Linked DNA regions of Oryzias latipes. The protein of the gene in region 2 interacts with the protein of the main gene of each other region in a biochemical or structural test. Links are inferred from orthologs where the notes say so. Each region holds a gene or a part of one and is shown on either strand. Other genes may lie near its edges. The genes, in order: prmt6 and hmga1.

What was found.
Region 1: of the proteins of hmga1 (region 2) and prmt6, one has a biochemical effect on the other in vitro, tested with the Homo sapiens proteins (2 studies listed by BioGRID, with this or other methods). The link is inferred for Oryzias latipes from reciprocal best matches to the Homo sapiens genes HMGA1 and PRMT6.

What each region holds. Positions count from the first base shown.
Region 1 is NC_019878.2:11,442,676-11,445,946, reverse strand, and holds prmt6 (protein arginine N-methyltransferase 6), read right to left. Parts: upstream 2,001-3,271; 5' UTR 1,920-2,000; coding exon 870-1,919; 3' UTR 685-869; downstream 1-684. UniProt on the Homo sapiens protein: Arginine methyltransferase that can catalyze the formation of both omega-N monomethylarginine (MMA) and asymmetrical dimethylarginine (aDMA), with a strong preference for the formation of aDMA.
Region 2 is NC_019865.2:19,767,061-19,771,323, forward strand, and holds the start of hmga1 (high mobility group protein HMG-I/HMG-Y), read right to left. Parts: upstream 2,910-4,263; 5' UTR 2,767-2,909; intron 2,698-2,766; exon of another isoform or gene 2,515-2,697; intron 2,054-2,514; exon of another isoform or gene 1,969-2,053; intron 1,775-1,968; 5' UTR 1,754-1,774; coding exon 1,655-1,753; intron 1,125-1,654; coding exon 1,044-1,124; intron 210-1,043; coding exon 153-209; intron 1-152. UniProt on the Homo sapiens protein: HMG-I/Y bind preferentially to the minor groove of A+T rich regions in double-stranded DNA. It is suggested that these proteins could function in nucleosome phasing and in the 3'-end processing of mRNA transcripts.

The DNA.
Region 1 (3,271 bases), on a different chromosome or scaffold from region 2:
AAATTCTTTCCAATTCTGTCTGATCCAGTAGAGAAAAAACATTTTTCTTTTGTAAAACTAAATCATTTTTGACTACTAAGTTTGTTTTTTCCACGTTTTTACAGAGCATTGTCAGCTTTCAGAGAAACCATAAAATGCCACTTTATGCCTCACAGTATCCTTGTATCAGTTTTTACATTACTTTTTTATTCTGGAAAATGTTATATAAAATGATCTTATTTAGCAGTTTTTCTCAGAAAACATAAAAGTTCTTAGTTGTCAATTTTTTTGTACTACTTTCTTTTGTTAGCAATATATCTATAAATCTAAGCTCGGCTTTAAAAAAAAAAAGGTAAGAAAGACATTATGAACAACAAATACCTAAGAACAATTAGTAAATTTAGAAGTTTGCTTTTTATTATTAACAAAAACCTAAAATATCTGGTGTGAGAATCCATTTTTGTTTTTTACATGGATGAATGAAATTTATGATTATACCATTTTATATTGTTGCAGTCTATAAAAATAAATATTTAAATATAAAATTGAAAATAAAATAAAAAAACATTGTTCACTAGAGTAAAGAAGCATTTACATTGAAAAAATACACTGAAACAAATGTAACTTAAGAATTTTTATGGTTATTCCTAAACATAAAAAAAGATGTATTAGATTCACAAACAAGAAAAAACACAGCAAACTCAATTTTAGAGTGAATTTAAACTTTTATTTTTAAATACCAATTTAAAAGCAGTAAAACTTGATCAAATAAGTGCAGATGTAGAGACCAGGTGTTTTTTTCCTACTAAAGTGCTATTAATTGATCATCTGAATTATTTATCATAACACTACTTCTGTGTGATGTTTAGGGTCATTTAGTAATTCTAAGTCTAGGCGTCAGAGCTCCAGTCAGGCATGGAGAAAGTCTTGGACTGTCTTTTCTCTTCTCCTATAGCATACTCCAGGTGGATACATATATGTCTGTCGCTTTCCTCTGAGGGATACATGCACACCTCCCCGGAGACCAGCGTGTCCTGCTTCACCTCCGCCGGGGAGTCGAGGTACAGCACCGCCTGCTTCCAGTGGGTCTCGGGTTTGAACGGCGACGTGGAGAGCACGAGCGTCTGCGGTTTGTCCGAACACGGGAAGCTGACCGTGAAGTACACGCAGAAGCCATTGACTGCCGCCGAGCCGAACGAGCCGCAGCTGAACCGGCCCTTCACCGAGCGGAGTTCCTCCGCCGTCACAGAATATAGGTCCAGCTCCGCGAAGCGCGCCGGGTGGGAAAGCACGTCCTCCACGGTCACGGTGTTCACCGTGATGTCAGAGTTCATAATGCACTTCCGGGCAAAGTCGGACATACACGACATATCGACGCCGTACTGCTCTTTGACGGTGTACCAGAAGTGTAGGCGGTCTTCGACCACCGGGTCACAGATGGGCGCGATGTAGAGTTCGGCTCTGCTCGGCAGGATGATGCCGCCGGGCCGAAGCCACCTATCCCGGGCACAGAGCACCGAGTTGAGCATGGACTCGTGAAGCAGAGCGTAACCCATCCACTCACTCACAATCACGTCCACCTTCTCGGGGAGCTCCACGCTTTCCACGGTCCCCCGAATGACCTCAATTCGATCGTCCATGTTGTTTTGTCGGACTATTTTCTCAGCCTGCTCGGATATAGAGCAGGCCTCCACGGCGTAGACTTTCCTGGCTCCCGCCTGGGCACAGAAGATGCTTAACACGCCCGTTCCTGCGCCGACATCCAGCACCACTTTACCCCGAATGCACTCGGTGTTCAAAAGAATCGCCGTCCGATAAGTGTTGGTCCGGACGTGGTCCGCTATCATTTCTTCGTGAATGGTGACATCCGCGTAGCTGTCAAAATAAAGTCTATCCTGGCGGGTTTTATCCAGTTTTCTCTTTTTTCCTGCGTAAGACATCTTTTTCCTCTCCTGCAGCGTGCTACGAGCTGGCGGTGTTTTTGTTTGCTACTTCCGCGTTGGTGAATCTGGGATTTGTAGTGCAGAGGAGAGACTTTGAAGTTAATATTCACGACAAGCTACTACAATACCCACAAACCAACGGGACAATTCTGACATTTGAGAATTTGAGTTTACACATTTTTCTTTCAAAATGTTTGTGGAATGTTGGGATTGACTAAAAAATAGGGATAATAATGGAAAAGGGGGACTTAAAGAAAAAAAAAATCGTAATTTCTCTAAAACTATTTCCAGGTGTCAAAGCCACTCACATTGACAGCACAAACACTAAATTATTTGACAAATATTTGTTTCTTCAGTGTATTGCATACAATTGGGTCACTTTTTTTTAAAATATTCATTTTTATCCTGTTATTTGTATTACTTTAAATTTCCAAGTGGTTAAGTGGGGAATATCACCATCATTTCTTTAAACAGAGTTTAGGAAAGTGTTGTGTTAGGTAATATTACATTGTTTTTTTTTTAATAGATTTATTCTTTTAAACTGAGACATGTTTTTAAATATTTTCTTCCAATTTATTGTTTTTAAATGTTGCTTGAGCCATCTGTTTATAGCACTCTTATTTGTGTGTGTGTGAGTGTGTGTGTGTGGGGGGTATTTAGAGACCAAGTCAGGAAAAATAAAATCACATTGTCTGACTTTAAAAGACTTAATTTGTAACTTGTGGTAAAAAACAAGGCTTTGGTCAGCTACAAACAAGCAAGATTTCTGGTTCTCACAGACCTGTAACCTTTTCTGTAAGAGGATCATCTGTCCTGTAATAATATAATAATGGCACCTGTTTGAACTTCTTATTTATATAAAAGACACCTGTCCACAACCTCAAACAGTCACACTCTAAACTCCACTGTTGCCAAGACCAAAGAGCTGTCTAAGGACACCAGGAACCAAATTGTTGACCTGCACCAGGCTGGGAAGACTGAATCTGCTATGGGTAAGCAGCTTGGTGTCAAGAAATCAACTGCAGGAGCAATTATTTGTAAATGGAAGACTTACAAGACTACTGATAATCTCCCTCCCTCCAAGATTTCACCTTATGGGGTCAAAATGATCACAGGAACGGTGTCCCAGAACCACACTGGGGGACCTGGTGAATGACCTGCAGTGAGCTGGGACCAAAATAACAAGGACTACCATCAGTAACACACTATGCCACCAGTGACTCAAATCCTGCAGTGCCAGTCATGTCCCCCTGCTAAGACAGGACATATACAGGCCCGTCTAAAGTTTGCTAGAGAGCATTTGGATGATCCAAAAGAGGATTGGGAGAATATTCTATGGTCAGACGAAA
Region 2 (4,263 bases):
TGACTAATCCAGGCGTCTCTTTAGAGTCCGCCCAAACCACAAGCAGTGATGGAATGCTACTACGAAACCACACAATGCGAGATTTAATGCTCTTTCAAGACTGGCCCACTGTTTTTAGCACACTGTTGCACTGTTTTAAGGGCAACTCTTACCTCTTTCTTGGGTCTTCCTCTGCGTTTCCCCGCTGAAGATTGAGCTGCCGCTGCCTTCTGTGAACAAAAGGGACACAAGGTCAGACATTCTGCAGTGAAGAGGCTTCGGCCATCTGCATTTTTTTTTATTTGAGAGAGTGACAGTGCCCTAAACTGCCTGTAGATGGCAGTCACACTTTAACAATGACAGGAGGGGAGGGGGCATTGGGTTCATTGGCTATTATCTGGATGGCCTACAGGAACTGCATACGGGGCACTCCAGTTCGCAGGCCACCTGGTCTGAGGCTCAGAGACAGCTGGTGAAATCGAGCGAAGACCCAGAAGCCCTCTCTGCAGAGCAGGCGCTGCTGCTAAAGCGATCGTGCCGCGTGCACGCCTGTCCCAAACTCTGTCTGCCGCTCTCCCTTTTCCCATGCATTAAAAACATGGGCTGAGCACACGGGGGAGCTGGAGGGTTGGGGCGAGGGAGAAAAATCTGATGTTGCTATGGAGACGACAGGCAGAGAGAAGAACTAGGGCTGTGTACTGGTGGGGGGTGGGGGGGCTAAGTGTCAACTTGGAAACAGTATTGCAGCCTCTGCACCTGCACTGCCTGCACTCTGCAGGAAGCTGGAGGACAGGATGACACCCCCCCCCACCACCACCACCACCACCATCACACACACACACACCTCAAAAAGTAAGGCACTAAACCAGTGGGTTTTTACAATGGGGAAACCATAACTATGCCATTAGTGACAAGAGGGGAAGAAGACACTAAATGTCACAAATGACAGCTCAACGTCCTTTAAGAGTATGTGGTCAGCAGCTGCTGCGCTGCTAAACCAAATGGATGCAGGGGGCAATGGATGTGTTGGAAATTCTGCTCCTTCACATTGTATGTCAACTTACTTTGCCCTTGCCGCCGGTCTTGTTTTTGCTGCCCTTTGGTCGTCCTCTGGGCCTCTTTGGAGTCGGGGATCCACTGGGCTCCTGGTGATCAAAGCGACCCAGAGTTAATTCAAGTTTTATTGCAGTGCGTTTTTTTTCTTCTTATTGGGAGACTGGCATCACCAATAATCAACAGGAGGCGAGTAATCGTATTCATGCGTAATTTGTGGTTGGATGGTGTCGTGGCTGACTTGCCTTCTGTTGCATTTGTAGCTTGTTTACAGCTGCTGCTCTTAGCAACCAGGCAACTCAGTAGTAAACCACAGCAGACTGACTGACAGGTCTATGAGCCACTCTGCTTGGACTGGGCTATGTCATCCATTACATGGAGCACATAGGTGGGCGAGAGGATGGGGGGGAGGGGGGTGGGGGGTTAAACCGGTTTAAAGGTGTAGGGTTACAGGTTGCTTTGAAATGGTGGTGGGGGGGTTGCAAGTTGCGGGCCTCTACTTGGATTTTAGGGCATGCATGGAGCACTTCACTCTCCCGGTGCAACACATGCACAATTACAGATCCACAGCATGCACGCCTATACGAAACGAGAAGGGGGTGTAAAATGTGCGTTTACTTACGTCAGTCGTCTTTACCTGGGGCTGCTTACGGGGTCTTCCACGCCCTCTCTTCTCTGCCGCCTCTTTCTCTTTCGGCGAGACGGTTCCCTTGTCGCTCATGCTTACTTTAGCTCTTGGAACCTACGAGGAGAGAGTCCACAGATTTGGCGCTGTTGCAGCAGCAGCAGGAGGAGGACGAGGCGTCGAGTTCACGCACAACACAAAGCGTCTAACCCGCTAAAGCCAATGACCGCATTTAAAACTAACATATTCAAATAAAATCCGACCGTCGCCAAACACACGAACCCGGTTTAACTCAATTAATCCGCGCTTACTTCCAGGTCTATTTCCGTCTCATCCGCGCTCCATTACACAGCACCGTGCTACACAGAACCAGACAACGAAGGCGATCGCATGTTAATGCACAGACTCGAGGGGCGGTGGGAGGAAAAAAGGGGAGGAGGGCGGGGGGACACTACTGAACCCGTTGCACCGTTCCCGAACCAAACATATTAGGGGCCCGTCCTGCCTGGAGCTGTTGTGACCAATGGTCGGGCCTGTGCACGAATCCATCTCACAGCAGGTCTGCACGCAGGGGCCACCGAGAACACAATGGCTGCTATGTGCTCGTTTGCATTTGAAGGCTAAGCATCGGCTACATGCGCGCGACTTTTAGGGTCCCCCCTATAATTAAAAATAAAAATTAAAAAAATCCCTGATATTTTACAAAACATGACGGTAAATTTAAGGCGACTGGAAGGCAGGCCAAAAGACATCTTCACGTTCAAAGAATGCGGCGTCCTGTAAGCTAGCTTAAATGTAGTAATTTGCTTGAAGCTAACCGACTACATTCGGTTCACGCCGGATTAATCAGCGCTTACCTGTTACTAGTCCGCTTTCCCCGTCCTTAATTTTGTTCAGAAATGCCCCTGAAGCCTGGCCGAACCGGTTCAAAAACCTTGCAACGATCTATAGGCTGGAGCTTTTTTTCGTCAGACAACGCACAGCCCGCCCCATTTAAAAAACCCTGCTCACGCGGCCGACAAAAGAAAAAAAACCCGCTTTGAATTGAAGAAAAAAAAAATCAACATTTCATCCAAACAACTGCTTATATGTAAATAAATATAGTTTACCAGCAAAACAAGAAGATTATTCCAACGGTGTCCTGAATGTAGCACGTGCGTCTGGTCTCGTGAAGATAAAGAAAAAAGGCGCGAGCCAGGAGGAGATTTTTGGCCAATTTAAAGAGCCGCCCTCATGGGAGCAGGAACACTGGAGGGCGGAGATATGATAAATGGGGCCACCAACAGTACCACAGAAGCTCAGCCCCCCTCCACCCAACCACTCCTTATGGCGCGGATTCTTTACATTTTCTTGATTCGGTTTGAAAACGCAAAACACATGTTGGAAAGTATCGGAAGGAACTTTTCACATAAAATAAAACTGACGGAAAGTACATTTTCAATGTTCAAATATAATATGTGGTGTTTAGTATTTTGTCCTTTTGCTGAACAGTAGGTCTGCATTCCAGTCTCCACTGTAATGGTGAATGAACTATGACCTCCCCCAATGTAAACACATGCCTCCTTTATACTAGGAGCATTCAGCTCTCCTGCTTATAGTCCCAGAAATTTCATTTCAAACTGTCAAATAAGAACCTAAAACGTACAAACACCCCTCTCAAAAATATCAAATAAATGCACACTAATTGGAGCTGAAGTTAATTTTTTAAACATATATTCAGATGAAGTTGGCTGCAAAAAGGCTGCTGACTCATTAGCTGCTGGTTTGATTCCCTGCTGGAACATTGTGTTCTCTTGTGTTACAGAGGCACATACATCCATTCATCTGTTCTTAGGTGTAAAACTGTCCAGTTACTTTAGTTTAAGCAGCTTTAAACAAAATTAATAAATATAAATTGCTATAATATTTTTGTACTATAATAGTTTGAAAAAAAAAACTATTTACATAGCTTTTTAAGCTTTAATAATACCAAAAGAAATGTGGATTTGTTATAACAAAATCGATTGCCATAAGTGTTTCTTTTGGATTTAACATTTAAAAAATAAATAATTAGAATAATTTCCATAACTTTTACTAACTTACATGTTAGTTTTGGACTTTTGCATGATTTTTAAACACATTTTTTTCTGTCTTATTTTCTGTAGTGAATAAACTTTCTTGTATTGTATGAAAACTTCAAATACAAACAGAGTTTTATGGACTAATGTGAACATTTTATAAAAGCGTGCTATTGTAAGATACAACTTTAAAGAAACACACACACACATAATGTAAAAATGTGTTTAATGTTTAAATCACAAGAACATTGTACCTGGTACTGTGCAAAATCTTTGCAGCTTATACCTTTCGTTTTTTGCTTTGAAATTTACTAGAAAACCCAATGTGAAATATTAACTGCGATTCCTGAAAATTCTTATTTTGGCAAGAAATTCAGGTCAATAAAAATAGAAATGTCGCTCTTCTTTCTGGAATTAATTAACCAACAAACCCAATAAAAGTACCTTGTGCAATATTTGCTGTAATGTAATATGCAACGGAGCTGCAGAGACAGTCTTTTGCAGATTTTGGACACATTTCTTTGAGCTTTAAAATTGATTACAGAAACT